Linked DNA regions of Arabidopsis thaliana. The main gene of each other region encodes a partner of the protein of the gene in region 2 in a complex. Links are inferred from orthologs where the notes say so. Each region holds a gene or a part of one and is shown on either strand. Other genes may lie near its edges. The genes, in order: PTAC12, PDE312, FSD3 and MRL7.

Evidence for each region.
Region 1: PDE312 (region 2) and PTAC12 share a complex: the UniProt entries of both Arabidopsis thaliana proteins name them as parts of the transcriptionally active chromosome (TAC) complex.
Region 3: the proteins of PDE312 (region 2) and FSD3 are in contact, whole or in part, in a cryo-EM structure (PDB 8XZV), measured with the Spinacia oleracea proteins. The link is inferred for Arabidopsis thaliana from one-to-one orthologs. Residues at the interface, in XP_021866326.1 of Spinacia oleracea: Arg80, Lys81, Trp84, Val85, Trp89, Pro91, Glu156, Leu158, Arg177, Asp178, Arg188, Glu192, Arg195, His198, Lys199, Ala202, Arg204, Tyr276, Pro277, Tyr314, Trp315, Glu329, Leu331, Arg346, Asp353, His354, Leu355, Leu356, Phe357, Arg359; in XP_021853685.1 of Spinacia oleracea: Tyr59, Tyr60, Gly61, Leu62, Lys63, Lys64, Pro65, Pro66, Leu100, Asp104, Leu106, Tyr107, Gly108, His109, Thr110, Lys116, Val117, Tyr119, Asn120, Tyr121, Gly122, Asn123, Glu142, Lys194, Ser204, Asn205, Arg258, Gln260, Ala261, Phe262.
Region 4: PDE312 (region 2) and MRL7 share a complex: the UniProt entries of both Arabidopsis thaliana proteins name them as parts of the transcriptionally active chromosome (TAC) complex.

The regions. Positions count from the first base shown.
Region 1 is NC_003071.7:14,581,324-14,586,696, reverse strand, and holds PTAC12 (plastid transcriptionally active 12), read left to right. Parts: upstream 1-1,899; 5' UTR 1,900-2,152; intron 2,153-2,330; 5' UTR 2,331-2,351; coding exon 2,352-2,435; intron 2,436-2,552; coding exon 2,553-3,233; intron 3,234-3,323; coding exon 3,324-3,436; intron 3,437-3,510; coding exon 3,511-3,770; intron 3,771-3,852; coding exon 3,853-3,974; intron 3,975-4,050; coding exon 4,051-4,119; intron 4,120-4,213; coding exon 4,214-4,267; intron 4,268-4,357; coding exon 4,358-4,453; intron 4,454-4,531; coding exon 4,532-4,636; 3' UTR 4,637-4,862; downstream 4,863-5,373. Other genes in the region: GPS1 (geranyl diphosphate synthase 1), read right to left, coding at 5,065-5,244, 5,320-5,373. UniProt on the Arabidopsis thaliana protein: Involved in plastid gene expression. Acidic transcriptional coactivator necessary for the transactivation of many PIFs target genes (class B genes), particularly during the regulation of hypocotyl growth.
Region 2 is NC_003074.8:17,960,228-17,966,153, forward strand, and holds PDE312 (Nucleic acid-binding, OB-fold-like protein), read left to right. Parts: upstream 1-1,935; 5' UTR 1,936-1,981; coding exon 1,982-2,710; intron 2,711-2,801; coding exon 2,802-2,861; intron 2,862-2,955; coding exon 2,956-2,985; intron 2,986-3,063; coding exon 3,064-3,137; intron 3,138-3,277; coding exon 3,278-3,520; intron 3,521-3,641; coding exon 3,642-3,708; intron 3,709-3,793; coding exon 3,794-3,886; intron 3,887-3,999; coding exon 4,000-4,176; intron 4,177-4,253; coding exon 4,254-4,304; intron 4,305-4,541; coding exon 4,542-4,693; intron 4,694-4,763; coding exon 4,764-5,181; 3' UTR 5,182-5,386; downstream 5,387-5,926. Other genes in the region: AT3G48490 (uncharacterized protein), read left to right, coding at 1,111-1,204, 1,305-1,573.
Region 3 is NC_003076.8:7,848,862-7,853,041, forward strand, and holds FSD3 (Fe superoxide dismutase 3), read left to right. Parts: upstream 1-1,582; 5' UTR 1,583-1,762; coding exon 1,763-1,849; intron 1,850-1,947; coding exon 1,948-2,037; intron 2,038-2,315; coding exon 2,316-2,507; intron 2,508-2,595; coding exon 2,596-2,767; intron 2,768-2,868; coding exon 2,869-2,942; intron 2,943-3,020; coding exon 3,021-3,047; intron 3,048-3,135; coding exon 3,136-3,159; intron 3,160-3,254; coding exon 3,255-3,380; 3' UTR 3,381-3,673; downstream 3,674-4,180. Other genes in the region: PYRD (pyrimidine d), read right to left, coding at 1-55, 146-401, 489-812, 949-1,031, 1,233-1,382. UniProt on the Arabidopsis thaliana protein: Destroys superoxide anion radicals which are normally produced within the cells and which are toxic to biological systems. Plays important role in chloroplast development, particularly in the maintenance of thylakoids membranes.
Region 4 is NC_003075.7:14,124,698-14,129,032, forward strand, and holds MRL7 (polyadenylate-binding protein 2-binding protein), read right to left. Parts: upstream 2,386-4,335; 5' UTR 2,132-2,385; coding exon 1,437-2,131; intron 1,192-1,436; coding exon 1,107-1,191; intron 975-1,106; coding exon 863-974; intron 774-862; coding exon 670-773; 3' UTR 515-669; downstream 1-514. Other genes in the region: MGT5 (magnesium transport 5), read left to right, coding at 31-306. UniProt on the Arabidopsis thaliana protein: Plays an essential role in early steps of chloroplast development. Involved in the regulation of plastid gene expression. May positively regulate plastid-encoded RNA polymerase (PEP) activity through binding to FSD3 and CITRX/TRXZ.

The DNA.
Region 1 (5,373 bases), on a different chromosome or scaffold from region 2:
GGGATGTACCCAACAACACAAGGGACAGCTTCACCAGTCTGATTTATGCCACTGTCCCGTTCTTGTCCTCCCTCTGCCCCACCACTCCTTTGTTTTATTTCATCAGTAATAATACTACTAATTTTAGTTAGTGTTTAGATTAATCATAATGCAATAAACAAAGAAAAATATCTGATTTTTGGTAGAAAAACATACCAGCAGCTCATATACTATTAGTTCATATTTTTAACCGATAGTTGATTGTTAAAAAGAATGTTGATTCAAGAATTTTGTAAGAATTGCAACATTGTTGAACAACAGTGGCAAAACATACCATAAACTAATAGATACTAGTAACTATGATCACTGATCAAATAATGTATAAATCGGAGATTATTCTATGTAACATTTAACAAAAGTGTATTACAAGTAAATAAAGAATAAACTTTTTAAGTTACGAATGGTAAAAAACTAAAGAAATTTGTTAGTTCTCTGTTTGTATGCATGCATTGTCTCTCTGCTAAAATGTTCATGACAAGTCCACATCTACTCAAATACTCATCGAGGTGATTATCCTCGTCGTCGCTTTTATACACATGTAATATTACACACATCTATACATGGAGTATATTTTTAGCGAACGGATAGGTGCCATGTGGAGGTAAGTACACGTCGCCACTTGTGAGATTCTGTTCCAATTACTTGTGGAAGTGAATTATGTCGCAGAAAAAGTTTGACGAGATTTCCAATTAGCCACTCATTTATTAACGGTCACCAAAAGCATCAAATTACAGTTTTTTTTAGTGCTTTGAGATTCTTTTCCCTGACATATTGTTTTATGTAAAATAGCAAACTCGAAAAGATAGTAATAGTATCCAAATTATTATTATTACAGTATTATTTTTGATAAAAGGTTGTTATTCTTTTTTTATTTTTTTATTTATTGTATCTATTATATAATTCGAAACTGCTATATTGTTTGTCTTTAGTTTGCATCTCTAGCTTTATATATGCTTATGAAGTTTCAAATGTTGCTATTATATGCTGCTGATTCTTTTTTTCTTATGTAGGAGTATAGGTTTGACCGTTTGACAATACGAGAGGAAGAGGAAGTTGGGAAAAAACGACGCCGCATGGATAGTCTCGCTCGTTGCACGAATAGTTCAAAAGGTGACGTTAGGCGCGTGCGGGTCAGCGAAACTTGTGCCTAGTCAGACCTTTGTGGTATAGTCTTACGTGGTCTACGTCTGCCAAATTTCAGAAAACCAAAAAAACAATTATATGTTTGGTCCCTAGAAATAAATATTATCGTCGTTTAGCAAGTTTGAAGTAAGCAATAGTAGTATTAATGTATAAAAAGTGTAGGATATTAGGTTAAAATAGGCCTGTGATAGATACCGTAATGTCTATGATGTGTCTGGTCAGACCCATTTAATATTGGTTCAGACCATATTAGCACATTAGCCAATTGCCATTCACGTTGGGTCCAAACCTTCTTCCTTCTATAGTGTCTTAGACAAGTACGTACACACGCTGAAGTACAAATCATATACAAGTATTTATTCACTTAAAGGTACAATGATTGATGTTTTTTGTGTAACATGTTCCTCTAGTCCACTATATTAATCCATTACGGAGAGAACTATCTAAAAATTGTATAATCGCAATTGTAAATTGCAAATCTATTAACAAAACTAAGATGTGTTCACATGCATACTTCGATAAACATTCTTCCATATATCTTTTGTGTTAAGGCATGTTTTAAATGATCAAATCACATATTGATTTTATTTGAAAGTATATCAATATAATAAACTGTTTAGAAGATGTTTTGCCAAAAAAGAAAAAGATGTTTTGTTCTTCTTGGAAGTGTTTGTTAAAGCCCAAGAGAGACTTCAAGCTCACAATTTCTCAAAGATCCATTAATACTGGGCCTTAGTTAGATATACCAAGCCCATATACTTTCTCTTCACAAATTCCCGTTCTAATACCGGCGCGTCGTGAAATCTAGAGATTTTGCCGTCACCAGAATATGTTAATAAACGCAGGAGGAGATAAATGGATAAACCCAAAAACTGACAAGTGAAAACCTTTTGAAGCCAAAACCCCCTTCAAAATCAAGCTCCATGATAGAAAACCCTCTTCCTACATAATCTCCTGGTAAAACAAAAAGGTTAGTCTTTTTCTCCTCAACTTCGAGTGTGAAGCGTTTGTAAAAATGCCCAAAAAAATCGTACCTTGTTATGGACAATTTGTTGTATCAGGTTCTTCTTATCTGGGTTTTATGTTTTGTACTAGTTTGAAACTGATTCTGAGCATAATTGAATCGGTTGTTTTTGTAAATGATACAGTGAGAAGTAGAAAGAGTGTAAATGGCGTCAATATCAACCACCACCTGGCTCTACCGAGGTCAAGTATGCACAGACAGTGGAAAGTCCAGTAATTGTATTGTGCAGGTTGGTTCTTACACATCAAGTTTCTTGTTCTGATCCAAACTTATCTAATTTAGAGATAGTGAACATTTTAGCTTGTTTCAAGATGTCAAACTGGTAAAAGTTTGTTTATGTATGTAGAGACGGGTTAAATGTGGGTTTCCACTCAAGACATTGCATGCTGGGATTACTTCTAGGGATCGGTCTTTGCGACATTGTATCAAATGCAAGAAAGAGGATGGAGATGGTGATGTAAGTGAAGGGTCTAAGAAGAGTGAAGAAGGATTTGAGTATGTGACTGTTGAGAGGCATCCTTACCATAGTTATATGGATTCAACTTCTGGGAAGCTTGAGCCAGCGTCCGGGGCTCGGGCTAGTATTCCAGGTGAGGATTATTGGCCTGAAGGAACTTCGAGCCGGGTTAGAGCTGCTAGAGCTCCTCAACCAGCTGGTGAGTCTTCGAGTTTTCCTTCCTATGGAAAGAATCCTGGAAGTAGGAGAAAGAAGAATAGGAAAGCTACTGAGGAGAATGTGACTGTTGAAACGAATGACGAAGTATCCGATTCTGAGGATAGCTCTGAAGAAGAGGAAAATGATTCCTCGGATGGGTTTGTTACCTATAAGAATGAATTTGAGAGAGAAGAAGAGGAGACTGGTTTTGAATTAGACAAAAAGCTTGGAAGGCCACATCCTTTCATTGATCCTACGAAAAAGAAACAAATTGAAAAGACACTCACGAGCGATGAATCGTGGTGGAACTGGAGGAAACCGGAGAAAGAACAATGGTCAAGATGGCAAAGAAGACGTCCTGATGTTGAAACGGTTAGTCATCACAATGATTTCAGGTTTAAACATGTGTGTGTTTCCCCAATGTTTGATCCATTATGGTATTTTTTTTTGTTGTTGATGCAGGTTTTCCTCAAGGCAATGGCAGAAACAGGACAAGTGAAGCTCTATGGGGAAGAACCAACACTCACAGAAACTTCTCTTTATAGAGCAAGAAGGCATCTTTTCAAGGAAGAGAGGTATATTGATCTAACGAACTTTCAAGTGAAAATCTGTTTTATTAGGATTTTCTTTCGAGTTTTCTTTCTCTCAGGCTGCAAGCTGAGCGAGAGAGATTAGCGAAAGAAGGTCCAATGGCTTTTTATTCTGAATGGGTTAAAGCATGGAAGAGAGACACGTCAAGAGAAGCTGTACAAAAACATTTTGAAGAGACAGGTGAAGATGAAAACACACAACTGATTGAGATGTTCTCTCATCAAACAGATAGAGAATACCGGATAATGATGGGAACTGATATTAGGATCAAGAGAGATCCATTGGCAATGCGGATGAGGGAGGATCAAATTAAGCAAAGTAAGAAACTTTGACCGTTGAAGTTTGAACTAACTCATCATGGATATTCAATCGTTCGACTAACATTCTCGGTTTCTTGCAGTTTGGGGCGGGGATCCAGTTTACCCGACAATTAACTACATTCAAGATCCTAATGCGGTTATGGATTTCAGAGGACCTGATTTTCATGAGCCTACACCAAATATGCTCTCTTATCTAAAGGAGGTTAGTCTGCTTTGCTCAAAGTTCTATTCTTTTTCTTTCTTGGTCTGATTGTTTTCTTTGTTTCTGATTTGATCAGAATGGCAAAGTCATCTCAAGAGAGATGCATGAAGCACTACTGACAAAAGAGAAAACCGAGCAGCTCGAGGTAAAGTGACCAATCTTTCATTTCCTTTGACACAACTCTGATTGTGAGATTTCAGGGTTTCGCTTGATATGTTCGATAAATTGTATGAATGCAGGTACCTGACATGGATGATGCAATGGCACAAGCTGTTGATATTGGTGAAAACGATGTGAGTATCATCGATTACATCAGATCCTCTTCTTCTTTATTGTTTCTTGATGTATCATGCTCTGAAACATCTCCGGACATTTTTTGACAGGACGACGAAGACGATGCAGATGTAGAAAAAGACGACGAGAAAGTGCCGAGGAACTGGAGTGTCTTGAAGGAAACCCCTGAGCTTCGCACCGCCAAGGTAAAGTCACATTCAACTTGAGCCACATTATATGTCTTGTGTGGTGTGTTGATGTTATGAGCTTGGTTTCTTAAACAGCCTAAACCAAAGAAGGAAGGTCGGATGTCTCTAGACGAGGCCGTGGATGATGCTGAGAACTTAACTGATTTTCTCATGGACTTTGAAGAGGAGACTGATCCTTAAACCTGGTTTTCGTATTTCTTATGTAAAGACGTTATTTAGGGCAACTTTTTCTTCACTGGTTTTGCTTGTATACTTGGAAGGGATGATATCATTTAGGAGTGGATTTGAGTTTTGCAAGTGATTTGTATCATATGGAATTCAAATATTTTTGATTGAATTTATAGAGTTTTGAAAGTGATTTGTTAACTGTACTGCATCCTGTTTAGTTCAGCTTGAGACGGTTTAATCTGTTAAAACAAGACCTAAACCGAATTCGCAAGGAATATGATTTCACAATTAGTATCTGTCTCCTTTTTTTGTCATGTGTAGTTTAAAACCAAAGCCACAGCTTGTCAAACATTATTGTTTCGTGAAACGAATTGGACCAACAAAATCCTACAAATGAAATGAGGAATGTTTTGGTGTATAGAGAGAAACATTACTTAATCTCACTTGTTTCTGGTGATGACTCTATGGGTCAAGTCAATAAGTGCCCGCCTCGATCTTTTGACATCTTCATTGTCTGTTTCAGGTAGAGACCCGATTGCAGCTGCTGCTAGATTCGCATGTTCCATGGCTAATTCTCTTGCCCTCTGTATTCCCTTGCTCTTCCCAAGATACTCTAAAGCCTGTGTGATATAATAGTATTAGAGACTATGAAAACATATTATAGATTTTAGGAGATTTGTTTCTTTCAAACTTACAATGTCAACATTCCTAGGATCTTTTTCAACTTGATCAACAACTTCGCGTAGTTG
Region 2 (5,926 bases):
TTTTGCCTTTCATCAAACATAACAACTTTGTAACTCAAAACGACGCCGTTTTTAGTTTGTGTTACTATTCCCAAGGGACAGAAAAAATTATGCTCGAGAGCACGACGATTGATTTCTAAGCATTGATGTGAAATTGGATTAGCTAGGTATAACGATTGATCCTGAGGATAGACTCGACATCGATCAAAATAAACCCCATATCGGTGTTGTAAGGAACAACTTTGGCTTCTCGGTATATGTTCATTTCGAATTTATCGGTCATAAAAGACGAGATGTAAGAGTACTGGTACGATTAAATCCCCAAGTGTTGCATCTATGATGAGCCACAAGTTCTATCTTGTAACGCCTACACATGAGCGACCATGAAGAAGAATGGTGCAGAGACATGAACATGACACGAAAATGTGGAGACTCGATAATAGATTTCCACTGCTTACAAACCAGTTTAGAAGTCGTGATCATTTTTAGTGGTAATTGTGCAAGTATAATTGTCCATAGATCATCTGTGAAGAAACATATTCTTATTCATATGTGTTATTGGGATTTACTAAGGTGTATTTAAATACTGAATTTCACATAAATTTATTTCTCAATAATATCTAGCTTTTGCTGATAAATCTACGTAACATAATGGTATGTAAAAAAAAAGTAGATTATAAATTTAATATATGTGTACATAATAAACAGTAAGAGATTTGATCAAATTATATCTTTTCATGCTATTTAGTATTGTAATTTTCTGAAATAATCAATTATCCTAAAACAAGTTCATAAATAAAAAGTTAATATCCTAAACAATATTTACGTTTAATATATTTTCTCTATTAATACTAGATTTGATGGAAATTTTATCTATTTTAGTTATTTTATATAAAAAGTTTTTTTGGTTTATAATAATGAAAAACGTGATTAATGATAAAATCATAATAAGAGCGAAGGGCCCATTATAACAGCATTTATTTGGGCCGTTGTTGGTCTCAGGTTCCCGCTCTTTTTTATCGATCGAGGCGCCAAAACACAAAGAATCGATTATATGTTGTCATCTTTCAGATTGTCAATTCAAAGAAGACGATCAGATCTAATTGACTCGAGAGAGAGAGAGAGAGACGTATGTTTGGGAGGCTGAGACCACCGCCGTCGCCGCCGGATTGTCTGGAGAGATATCCGGCGAAGATCATCAAAGACGATCCTCTCTCCGTCTACGGTATAATAAATACACACTCTTTCCATTTTCATGTGATTCTGATTGTCCAATAGAAATCTCTAGGTTTTGAAATCCTTGGTTTCTTTTGATGGCATTGTAGAGTCAACACTGTTGAAACTTAAGCAAGGGTCAACAAGACAGGACACTACTTCATCAGAAACAGAAGGTGAAGAGAATCTGTCATCAACATCATCGTCTCATGTCTTGTCTTCGGATACACAATTAGGAGACACTCATGATGCAATGGCTATAGACTCGTGTGAAAGCTCGAAACAGATAAAGAGCAAGAACCCATCAGTACTATCCATGTTTAGCAAGTACAAGAATCAAGCTCAAGCACGAAACATGAAGACAGAGACTCAGGAATGATTTGTAAACAAATGTATCCCAAGTTCATGTGTGTTGTACTTTGATTATGTACAATTTAACTACATTGTTAGTAAGGAGTCTATATAGATGCCTGTATCAAAACATCTCTCAATCATGTGTTTATTACTTTAGCCTAAACAAGCTTTATGATCTTTAACCAACGGTGTTGATAGTACTGGTCATGTAGGGGTTCATCCATAACTAAACGTCTAAACCTTATATTAAAATGGGTCTAACTGATCAATCAAAAACATTTGGGGTCAAAACAATATATTGGATAAATATAAGGGTTCATCAAAAAAAACTTAACATTTCTTCTTCACTGTAAAATGAAATAAAGCTTATCCATACTCAACTTCTTCACTCTCTCTTAAACCTTCAAAAACCCTGAAGAGTGACGAATGAATCATGCAGATTTGCCAAACCAAGCTCAATTTCACTTTCCCTAATCCCACAAACCCTAATTTCTGCAAACCCAAAGCTCTTCAATGGTCACCGCCTCGTCGCATATCCTTGCTGCCTTGTCGTGGATTCAGCTCCGATGAATTCCCAGTCGACGAAACCTTCCTCGAGAAATTCGGACCAAAGGACAAAGACACAGAAGATGAAGCTCGACGACGTAACTGGATCGAACGTGGTTGGGCTCCATGGGAAGAGATTCTCACACCAGAAGCTGATTTCGCTCGTAAATCTCTCAACGAAGGTGAAGAAGTTCCGCTTCAATCGCCGGAAGCGATCGAAGCGTTTAAGATGCTGAGACCATCGTATAGGAAGAAGAAGATTAAGGAGATGGGGATAACAGAAGACGAATGGTATGCAAAGCAATTTGAGATTAGAGGTGATAAACCACCTCCTTTAGAAACATCTTGGGCTGGTCCGATGGTTCTTAGGCAAATTCCGCCGCGTGATTGGCCTCCCAGAGGTTGGGAAGTTGATAGGAAGGAGCTGGAGTTTATTAGGGAAGCTCATAAGTTAATGGCTGAAAGAGTTTGGCTTGAGGATTTGGATAAGGATTTGAGAGTTGGTGAAGATGCTACTGTTGATAAGATGTGTTTGGAGAGGTTTAAGGTTTTCTTGAAACAATACAAGGAATGGGTTGAAGATAATAAAGATAGGTTGGAGGAAGAATCTTACAAGGTTCGTTTTTTTTTTTGAACAATGAGATATTGTTAGCTTAGTGGTGGCTAAGAGAAGGATTCTAATAAAGATGATGTTTTTATTTATACAGCTCGATCAGGATTTTTATCCGGGTAGGAGGAAAAGAGGGAAGGATTACGAAGATGGGATGGTAAATATTATTATGCTACTGGATTTGATTGTTTGATTAGTTTGCTAGATGATGAACTGTTTGTAAGTTAATTGCTTTATTTTTCTTTGTGCAGTATGAGCTTCCCTTTTACTATCCAGGGATGGTAAGAATTCTTATTCTAAGCCTTGTATATTGTAACTAATGATTGGTTTAAATGAGCAATATCGTAATGTCCATGCAGGTTTGTGAAGGCACAGTTACCACTTTACATCTGTATCAGGGAGCGTTTGTTGACATTGGAGGTGTTCATGAAGGGTATGTTTATGTCTCTTTACTTTGTAAAGATAGACTTACCGTGGTTCTTGTATTTAGGGTATATAACGTAATATAATGTTGTCTCTTGTTTCATATGCTTTTTTTGAAAGATGTAAGTTTATGTGTCTATTGGTTTGCAGATGGGTACCTATAAAAGGTAATGACTGGTTTTGGATCCGGCATTTCATAAAAGTTGGGATGCATGTTATCGTTGAAATCACGGTAATCTTAAGGCACATATTCTTCTTTCGCATTTATAAAAATCTGAATGGAAATTGCTTCATTCTCCTTTTTCTTTTGTTCTTTCAGGCAAAAAGAGATCCATACCGGTTTCGGTTTCCCTTGGAGTTGCGCTTCGTCCATCCTAACATAGATCACATGATGTATGTAATTCACACGTATTTAATTCTCTTTACATATCCAGTAAAAATTGGCATTTTGGTTCTGTCCTCAATGGTCTTGGTTATGGTATATGTGTTGACTGTTTTTACATTCCTGCTCCAGATTTAATAAATTTGACTTCCCACCAATATTCCATCGTGATGGGGATACTAATCCAGATGAGATACGGGTCAGTAGAATCCTTTCCTAGAATATCAATCCATTTCGTGTTCTCGTGAAGAGTCTCCCTCTTATCTAATACATTGTTTGTACAGCGAGATTGTGGAAGACCTCCTGAACCTAGAAAAGATCCAGGATCAAAGCCAGAGGAGGAAGGGCTGCTCTCTGATCACCCTTATGTCGACAAGGTATTTTCCTGAGCAAAAGGGTTGGTTATGTGATTTTTGCTTTGTTTACTCATTAGGTTTATTGGCTTTCTAAATTTTGTGAAACCGTCAACACATTTCTTTCCCGTTTGCAGTTGTGGCAGATACATGTAGCTGAGCAAATGATTTTGGGTGATTACGAAGCTAACCCTGCAAAATACGAAGGCAAAAAGCTATCAGAATTATCTGATGATGAAGACTTTGATGAACAAAAGGATATCGAGTATGGCGAAGCTTATTATAAGAAAACCAAATTGCCAAAAGTGATTCTGGTGAGAGTTTCTTCTGGTGTGTTCGTGAAACCATACTGTCTTAAGCTTTGTGATTAAATGTGTTCTATTTCTGGCAGAAAACCAGTGTCAAGGAACTTGACTTAGAGGCTGCATTGACCGAGCGCCAGGTTTAAATTCTCTTCCCTACTTGTCGTCACCAATTTCCTTTAACCCACTGCTACGGAAATATTCTCGTTTGTATTTGTTTATTTTTAATAGATTTCCACTTCACACTGTCTTGGTAACTCCGATTGTCGTCACAGTTCCATTTTAAGGCTTTGCACTTTGTAATTGACACATTGTTGTATGAATCTTTTATACTGATAGTGGTTAATAACTCAATACTCTCCTGTTGTCTTGTGCAGCACCACAATAAACTAATGATGGAAGCTAAAGCAAGAGGAGAAGGATACAAAATTGACAAGCTCAGACGAAATATAGAGATGGACGAGTATGATTTCTTACACTGGCGCCGATCTTTGGAGGAAAGAGAAGCATTGCTCAGAGATATCAGCTCGTAAGTAAAAAAAAGTTCACTTTGATGTTTTTCAAAGAAAGTGTTTAGATGAAGAAGATTTATTTTGCAGTCGGCAAGCACTTGGTTTACCATTGGAGGAACCAGGGAGGTACAAGCCAGGAAGCTTCTTTGGGAAAGACCAGTACGATCCAACAAGTGCATTATATCAGTATGACTACTGGGGAGAGCCAAAGAACTCAGAGATTAGCAAGCAAGAGAGAATGAAGGATGCACACAACAAATCCATTGTTGGGAAAGGCAATGTGTGGTATGACATGTCTTACGATGATGCGATTAAGCAGACAATAGAGAAAAGAAAAGAAGGGTCTACCTTGGCGAGTCAAGAAGAAGAAACAGAGTCAGAGGAAGAAGAAGAGGATGACGATGATTTTGACGATTTTGACTATAGCATTCTGAGTGATGAGAGCAGTATCGGTTACTCGGAACAGCAACCTCTTGTTAACGGTACTCAAGTCTTGACAGACTGATGTTTAAAAGGAAAGTAAAAATAAGAAATTGTCGAGGTTGATTTATTTGAATTTTTGTCTGTTAGGTTTGATCTATTTGATAGTTTTTTTTTTTCATTTCTTCTTATCCCGGAGATAGTAAAATCAGTTTCTTATTAACTTAGCCAGACGTTTGGGATCTTGTAGTACACCGTTGAACGTTAGGAACGTGACGTTTTTTGTTTTTTCTATCAATCGTCGTCAGAGAAGGTAGTCTTGACACCGCAAAATACGCCTAAATGTTTCTCTTGTTTCTTCTGTTTGGGCTCCAAAACATCAACTTCTATCAAAAGGCTTTCTCGTTCGTACCTGGAATATCAAAAACCCTTGTCATCTCTCCGTGTATACCAAAAACTTCACACCATGTGTGCTCTTTGATGACAAAACTCTTAAGGCAAACTCTTACCAAAGCTACTCTGCAAGGTTGTACCTAATTCACAAAAATAATAGCATTAAACTTGTACAATGACATCAAAACTCTAAAGCAATAAGTTAGAGAACCAAATCTCCATAACATGGAAAATCAGTTTACTTGGGTCGGAGAGGGTATGGAGCTATCTCAGCTACGGAGAAGATGAAAACAGAGACGGTTTATTAGCCTGGAAGAGTTCGTTGAGAGCAGCAAAAGAAGTTATAAATATAAACCTTGAAGAGGAAGAGAGCGAGAGAAAAGAGGTGCTCCGAGTTGTATATGCTCGTTAAGGGTTTTCGCTCTTCTTTGTGGGCC
Region 3 (4,180 bases), on a different chromosome or scaffold from region 2:
TCCTTCCTTGAAGCATGCGCAGTCCTGCAGTATTGGGTGATGAAACATTGATCACCTGAAGAGAAAAATGAAAATTAGGAACAAAGAATTCTACGGTGGATTAGATCAAATTCATGTTCGATATATCATGGTAAGAAGTTTGTACCAAGTAATCAGCATACTGGGATAAGTTATGAACTCCTTGGACATAGTCAGCAGCAGCATCCTCACTCGTCTTGTTCTTTCCAAGGTTGACCCCAAGAATACCAGGTCCAGATTTTCCCCCTGGTTTTACATCATCACTTGGAGATGACGAAGTAGCTGATGTTTCAGCCAACATTCTTTTACCATGTTGAGCACCCAACCGCTTTGCAACGACAACAATCCCTTCGCTATTAAATCCACACCTATTGATAATAGCTCTGGGAGGACCAAAATATAAGTCTTTTAGTTTAAACTATCTTGCTTCTTCAATCATTGAAGGTCTTTTATAGATTAGAGATTCTCACCCTTCTTGGCTTAGTCTGAAGATACGTGGTTTCGGATTGCCTTCTTGTGGAACAGGAGTTACAGAGCCTACCTCAACAAAGCCAAATCCCATCCCTAGCAGTCCCTCAGTAGCCTCAGCGTTTTTGTCAAATCCAGCAGCAAGCCCAATTGGGTTTGAGAATTTCCTTCCCCAAACTTCAAGTCCCAAGATTGCTGGATCAGGCCTCTTTTCTCTAGGTACCCACCCGCGAGCTGCAGCTGAAACAGCCAGCTTATGCGCAAACTCAGCATCCAGAAGAGCAAAGAAAGGATTCACAACCTTTGTTGCGTTGAATAGCCACCCACTGTCCAACACACAAAATAGGTAAGAGGTAAAAAACAAAGTGACTTCCTCAAAGTAACTACAAGGTAGCCTTAGCAATGTCAACTAACAAAGAGAACAAAAAGACTAAGTTTCAGGGCACTTATTAAGTAAAGTACCAGAAGGTTGCTTCATCTGCAGTACTAACATAAGCTCCTCCAGCTATGGCCAGACCAATGGTAGCTCCTGTCAATATCCTTCCCTATAAATTTTCAAAGTCAAACACTTTGCTCTTGTAAAATGAAATAGCATCAATGATCTAACTCTACTACACCAATTAATGTGCCATATTCAGATCAAAACAAGAGTTGCAACTCCTTATCTTAAGGAATAAGATTCCAATATGATTCGAATAAACCAAAAATGAGATTAATTTATCAATAAATTCATCAAAGCTACTCACTCTCTTGGAAAAATGAGGGACTTTCGGTGCAGAAGAAGCTCCAGGAACCGAAGAACAGTTACGGGTAGCTCCAAGAGGATTAGACGAAACCCTTCTGAACAAAAACTCTCTCGCCCATTTCGCCGACGACGTCGCAGCCCTTCCGGCCATTAGGTAAGATGATTAAATCGACAGTGGAATCAAACAGAGTTCGAAAATGGTTGCTTTGAAATCTATAAGAAGAGGGTTTTAGCCTTCTAGCTCACGGCTTGAATCTTGATAGAGAGAAAAATATACGCTTTTTGTTTGTTGTTCGGTTACAAAGGATCGTCAGAGTATTTGCTAAAACCCTTGCTTCCTTCAGGTTGATCTTTCCGGTTCGATTTACCGGTTTAATGTAGTTAACCGGGGTAAAATCTTATATGTTAACCGGTTTGAAAAGAGATTGATAAGGAAGGCCCTTTCTCTGAAAAAGCGAGACCAAGAGTGCGAAGTAGCTCTCTGTCTTTCGAAGCAGAAGTGAGACTTTGACGACAACAGTGGGAGGAACTATGAGTTCTTGTGTTGTGACGACAAGCTGTTTCTATACAATTTCAGATTCTAGTATACGTTTGAAATCCCCCAAGCTCCTCAATCTGGTTCGTTTCTTTGTGTGACATGGAAATTGCTGTGGTTCTGTTTCACATGAATCTATCTCTTTTAAGCACTAAAGCTTTCAAATTTCGTTTCCTTATAGAGTAACCAGCAGAGAAGACGCTCTCTTAGGTCTCGAGGTGGTTTAAAGGTTGAAGCTTACTACGGTCTAAAGACACCTCCTTATCCACTTGTAAGTGCAAATAAGACTTTGGTATTTGTATTTGGATTCTAAGTGTAGTAACTATGTCTTGCTTCTGTAATCCAATTCTGTTCTCGACTAAGCACGGAACTGTAGAAAGTTTGTTAATTTGGGTGAATTGTCTTGTGAGTATAGGAAAGATTGTGTCTTGATCTGTGTATCTTCTATCTTGCAAAGTAGATGTGTCTTGATCTTTAGGGCCTTGGTGATATGTCAAAGAAGATGGTATAGTTGAGATTCTAATTAGAGTTAAAAACAAATGTGAATAGGATGCTTTGGAGCCGTATATGAGTAGAAGAACACTAGAAGTGCATTGGGGAAAACACCATCGAGGTTATGTAGATAATCTGAATAAACAGTTAGGGAAAGATGATAGACTCTATGGATACACCATGGAAGAGCTTATCAAGGCTACATACAACAACGGGAATCCTTTACCCGAGTTCAACAACGCTGCACAGGTACTTTATATTCTAAGTAACTTGTACATTATCACCCGAGGCACACACTAATGTTGGAAGGATTGATGATGATTATGTTGTTGTTTAGGTCTATAACCATGATTTCTTCTGGGAGTCGATGCAACCTGGTGGTGGAGACACGCCTCAAAAGGGTGTTCTTGAGCAGATTGATAAGGATTTTGGTTCTTTCACAAATTTTAGAGAAAAGTTCACTAATGCAGCTCTTACTCAGTTTGGTTCTGGATGGGTCTGGCTTGTCTGTGAGAAACTTGACTAGCTTTTCACTTGGTATTAAACTGTAGAATGACTTTGAAAATGGAAAATTTTGATTCTCTTTTTGTTTTTTTCTGGAAAATTTCAGTAAAGAGGGAAGAGAGAAGGCTTGAGGTGGTCAAAACCTCAAACGCCATTAACCCACTCGTGTGGGACGATATTGTATGTTAGAGTTTTATTAGTTAGTTTTCTTGTTGAACTTAATGTTACCTCTTGATCACATCTCTTTTGTTGTTACAGCCAATCATCTGCGTGGATGTGTGGGAGGTACACCATCTCCTCTCTTCTGTCATTCTTCCAAGAAACACTTTGAAACATTTTCTAATATCTTTCGTTTTCTTATCTTACTTTGCAGCACTCTTATTATCTGGACTACAAGGTAAAAACCTAGCTTAAATTCCGACCATTCTGTGTTCTTTTTGTTCGTTCAAAAGGCTAAATCAGTGTTTGTTTCTTTCTTTCTCCGGTTGCTAGAACGACAGGGCTAAGTATATAAACACATTTCTGAACCACTTGGTGTCGTGGAACGCTGCCATGAGTCGGATGGCCCGTGCAGAAGCGTTTGTGAATCTTGGTGAACCCAACATCCCAATCGCTTAAGCTAAACACAACTCCTTGGAAACTTGGGCAGTCTCATTTTTGCAAACAGAGGTCTCAAGTCCCAAGTCCCAACCAACAAAACAAGAGTTGCTTTCTGAATGTGACCCATCTTTTTGTTCTGTGTAATTTAGCGACAGTTTTCTCTTCTTTTGCCTTTTGAGAGACTCTCTAGCTTTAAGATCATCAGTGAGCCCTGTATGGTGACAGTAATGTTAGTGACGCAATTAACCCTTATTAAGTTATAATAAAACGAAGGCTGGCTCACGTGACCCGCACGTGACTGAGAGTATCCGTTTCCTCTTCTTTCTTTTCTTCTTCTTCTTCTTCTTCTTCGTCTCCTGACAATAGGGATTGACACCATCGTTCACTTCAACGTAAAGGTATAAACTTTCTTCCTCCTTAACGTCAAAGTTTCACGCGATCGTCTCTGTGGAACTCCCTCAGCATCGGGTAATTCCCTGATTTTCCCAACTCGCTCTCGCGGAAACTCTCGATTTCGATTGGGCTCTTGAGGTTCTGTTCATTTCCTCGTCTATGAATTTTCTACAATTGATTAGGAGTCGTGCCCATAACTGCGTGAGTAAAAAGGGAAAATTTTCTTAAAGATAAGCAATTTCAAGCTTTGTGTTCGTGAAATTTATCCTTGTATGAAACTTGCAATGCGATTGTTGTGTTGGTTGGTGGGTTTTCTGTAAAATCTCAATGTTCATGTAGGACCTGGGTTTTGGCAGATTCAGTGCCATAAAGACTGTAGTGTTAGTCCTCATATTACATTTGTATGGTTGCTAAATGGTCAAACT
Region 4 (4,335 bases), on a different chromosome or scaffold from region 2:
TTGGTAATTTAATATTTTTTTGAATTGCAGATGAAGGAGCATATTGACAGCACAGAAGCCTACGTGAAGATACTACAGAATAGTAGACGTAACGGACTGATCCACCTAATGATGCTTGTGAATATAGGCAATTATGCAATAACTGCAGGGACAGTGGTGGTCAACTTGTTCGGTATGAATATACCAATTGGATTGTATAGCACACCTGACATCTTTGGTTACGTTGTGTGGGCTGTCGTTGCGCTTTGCATTGTGCTTTTCATAGTCACCGTTGGTTACGCCAAGTGGAAGAAGCTACTTGACTGATAAGAGACTAAACACATTAGGTTTAGTCATTATGAGATTAGCTTTGTGGAATTCATTTTTTTTTTAGTTTGCTTTTTCTTATTGATTCAATGCTTTTGTTTTTATGTTATGGATTTTTGCATTAATAGTTTATCCTTCAAACAATTTTTCTATAAAAGGAGCTGGCTTCTTGATATATGTATGCATCATTGGTTACGAATCAACGTGTTAGGGAAAGCACAGATTGACGAGTAAAATCCATTACTTGGGAACAAGTTTATATTTGCATAGAACATACAAAAATGTTAACAATCTATGAGTGAAGTTTATGTAAATTTTCCTAGACTGACCTTTTGAGTGAAACTACTCTATGCCCGTTACAAACTAACAGTACGGGGTTACATTAGCCTTGTCGACACACGAAGGCCTCTTCGCTTTATAGTAGAAATGCGCAATCATATGAACCAATTCATCCGCCGTGCGAAAGTCTGCATCAAGTTCAATACGCTATGATAATCTATTGCTCACACATATTGCAAAAAAACATGAAAACAACGTTAGCAACATAGCTTATCACCTTTCTCCCTGTACAGAATCCGGTTTCCGCGTAAGAAGAGAATCTGTGGGCATTCCTTAGCTTTAAGAGCATATGCCAAATCTGTCTCGATGTTCAGGTCAATCTTAACCGCCTGTTTCATAAAACATGGTGATTCTTGTTAACAGAGAGCAGCCACATTAACATGTAATCACACCAAGAGAGATTAGTACACAAAGAGTAATGTTCAAGTTAAAACTGCAACTAGAGAAGGCTTTCGACATACCCGTGGAGGTAATCGATCTTTCGCATCCCAATAAACTTTGATAGCTTTCTCAAGCTCCTTCAATGTCTTCCAGTTATCACTAGCTCTATAAAACGCACAACAACTCAAAAAATTATTCCAACAGTAGTAGATTTTGGTCACTCTAAGAACAAGTTTCAGTTTTTATACTCATTGCAGTTAATTGATCATGGAATCTAACTCAAATGGCTCTTTCAACTTGTAATCATAGTCTAGATAATGTTGTGAAGGAAAAAGAACAAAGCTTTCATAGTTCTACTATGCACACCAAGTGTTTGTGAAAATTCGTCAATGAAATAACAAAGCTTATACCTTTTGTATCGCTCGAATACAAGGACAACGAGTGGACTAGGATGAAAAGCAAAGCTTTCCCATTCCAAACAATTGATCTCCTTGACCCAACTATCATCAATCTCACCTTCCCAATCAATCTCACTCCCATCATCTCCAACCACGTTTTTGATTGGATGTGTATCGAAATACTCCGAAGCTTTGATTCCCCATCCAACGTCTGTATCTACTGGCCAATCTGGATCTTCCTCTTCCACCACCATCTCTTCTTCTTCTTCCTCTTCTTCATCAACGCCTCTGTCTTTGATGAAATTCGCCTTCTCCTTGTTCTCAAAAACCTCCGGATTCTGCTCCTTTATGGTGGAGAAAGTACGCTCGAGGGAGCTTCTCACGTAATCTTCCACAGCGTCTGCTTCACTCCGCCGCCCACGCTTCGATTTACGCGGGACCTTTGTCGGAAACTTTTCATTGTTCTCGGTTTCAGCAATTGGCGTAACTGCTTCCTTATTTTTGCGACGGGACCGAGTTTGATTTTTGGATTCAGGGTCTAGTACGGAATCAGACGAAACAGCGGCGAAGCGTTTCACGCTCCGGGATGATATAGTCACCGGGAAAACAAATAGTGGGCTGCGATGCATATCAGAGAAGCTCGAATTCAAGCCGGTGAGAAGCATAGAAGATCTTGGCGCGGAGCAAGCAACAGCGAAGAAACTCATTTCTCTCGTTTCCTAAATTCAAAACGAAATTCGCAGAAATTTTTGGTAACTGAGTTTTTGCTCTTATAATCCACTTTGTCTGTATAATCCCGGTTTGGATTATTTCGGTTTGTGTTACTGTCCTTGATTTGGATCGGTTATCTTTCCCGATACTTGGTTTAGTTTATATAATCGAAACAGCGTCGTTTGAAATATTCATAATTTCATATACCTAGCTCCTCGCCTCCGTTAATGAAAAATTTGAAATATTTTTGGCAAATTTTAAAGTTGGATATGTTCTTTTTTTGGCATTTTCCCATTTCGTTATGTGATCACAATATCCATAATGTGATCACAAATTAGAAACATTGATAAAATATGTAAACTTTACATAGTCATAAGATCCTAAAATGGAATATTTTCTGACCTCAAAATGTAAACTCGTTAACAGTACACATACTAGTGTTTAAATATAATTTGTATGCAAGAAGAAGAAGCAGACACGATATGGAGAAGATTATTTTGGGATGCATTGTGTTTTTGTTGGTGTTCTGTGCCGTGTTGATTTGTCGTCTCTTACGTTACCTTTGTGAAAAACGGTGTGAAGAACCTAATAAGGTTTCGCACACACAAGAAAAAGAATCTAATAAGGATGACGTATTAATTCGAGGTACGTCTATTGTCTAACTGTTTTGTTTCGAGCTAATATATAACTTTTCTACAAAGTGAATTTTTCGATTCTATTTCTAATCTTTTAGTATCATGACAGCCTCGAAGACACAAACATATAGACCGCCTCAGGTGACGACGGTGTAGCCCGAAACCCGTAAACAAAAAGAACAACGTCTTTTCTACAATCAATTAAATATTTTTCACTTACCTTCAAGAAAAGTTTTTGTTTTGTGAAATAAAAGAAAAGTTTTTAGTGATTGTTTTTGACATTGTTCTCTTATTGTTTTTATTTTTATCCAAGGTATATTCTTATAAAGTTAATTGTTTGCGGTCTAATTTATTACATAGTACGATCTTTGTCAATGGGTGGAAGATATAAAGAAATTCTTCCTATAGTTTAGAATGTGTGAGTAAGATAAAATCGGAGTTCATAAACTCGATTGCCAAATCTTTGGGGTTAAGAAGGCTCAGTTTAGACGAAATAAATTTATACAAGTTAGAATAGATGATATTGTTAAATTGTTGGATCATATGGAATTCACAAATTAAAGCCTAACACGTGGTCACTGATCACTGGTTTCACATGCATTAAGACTCGTGGCCCATTGAAAACTGCAATGTTTTATTGTATAGTTGGTTCCATGTGTGAATGTAATTTTGTTTTGTGTTTCTTTTATATAGTTTGCATAAAAGCATGTGTTTTTATCTTCTTTATTAATAAGAAGTAAAAGAATTCTCGATTTCTTACACCCAATCTGTTACAGTTACACAGTACACATATATCTTCTTGTAGGTATTTTCATTTTTCAGTGACGTATTAATATTTGTAAAATGGAACTTCGATGACTCAAAATGTAAATATGTGTACTTTCTTTCTTGAACTCTCTTTTATGGACCTCACACCAATTTCATTGAGGTATGCAATACTTTTTCACTGAGGAATATTTTAACGAGTCTACTCATAAATCTCATCATATAAATTTGTTTTGGCATTAAGTTATTTTTATTATTGGTCGTCTCACGTCTGCCATGTTATTATGACATATATTCATAATATATATTAAAGATTGATATGAATATTAACTTACTAAGTATGGATGAGATGTTTTTGATAAATATATCTAAATGATGTAATTAACCATATATTAAACTTCAAATTTGGAAGTTGATTTTCTACATTTTACCAATTGACAGCTAGTTTTATTTATTCAATATCTACTTTCTATACATCCTTATAATGTCCAACTTTATAACCTAAACATCTACCTAACAACTAACAAGAGTCAGTACTCCCTCGATTAGATGTCTCCACACATATTAATAGATTAAAAAATGACAAAAATAATTCAACCTTCAAGATACATAATGTATTTTAAAATTCACTTTTTTCATGTTAATAGTAACAACTATTAGAAATATAAATGGTAAAATATCTAAAACATCTACAATTAAAAACTAACAAATTTAAATGAATCATGATATGTTGTTAATTTCACATGCTCCATCATTTTATATACCACTTTATTAATATTTAATGTTTTGCTGACCACTAG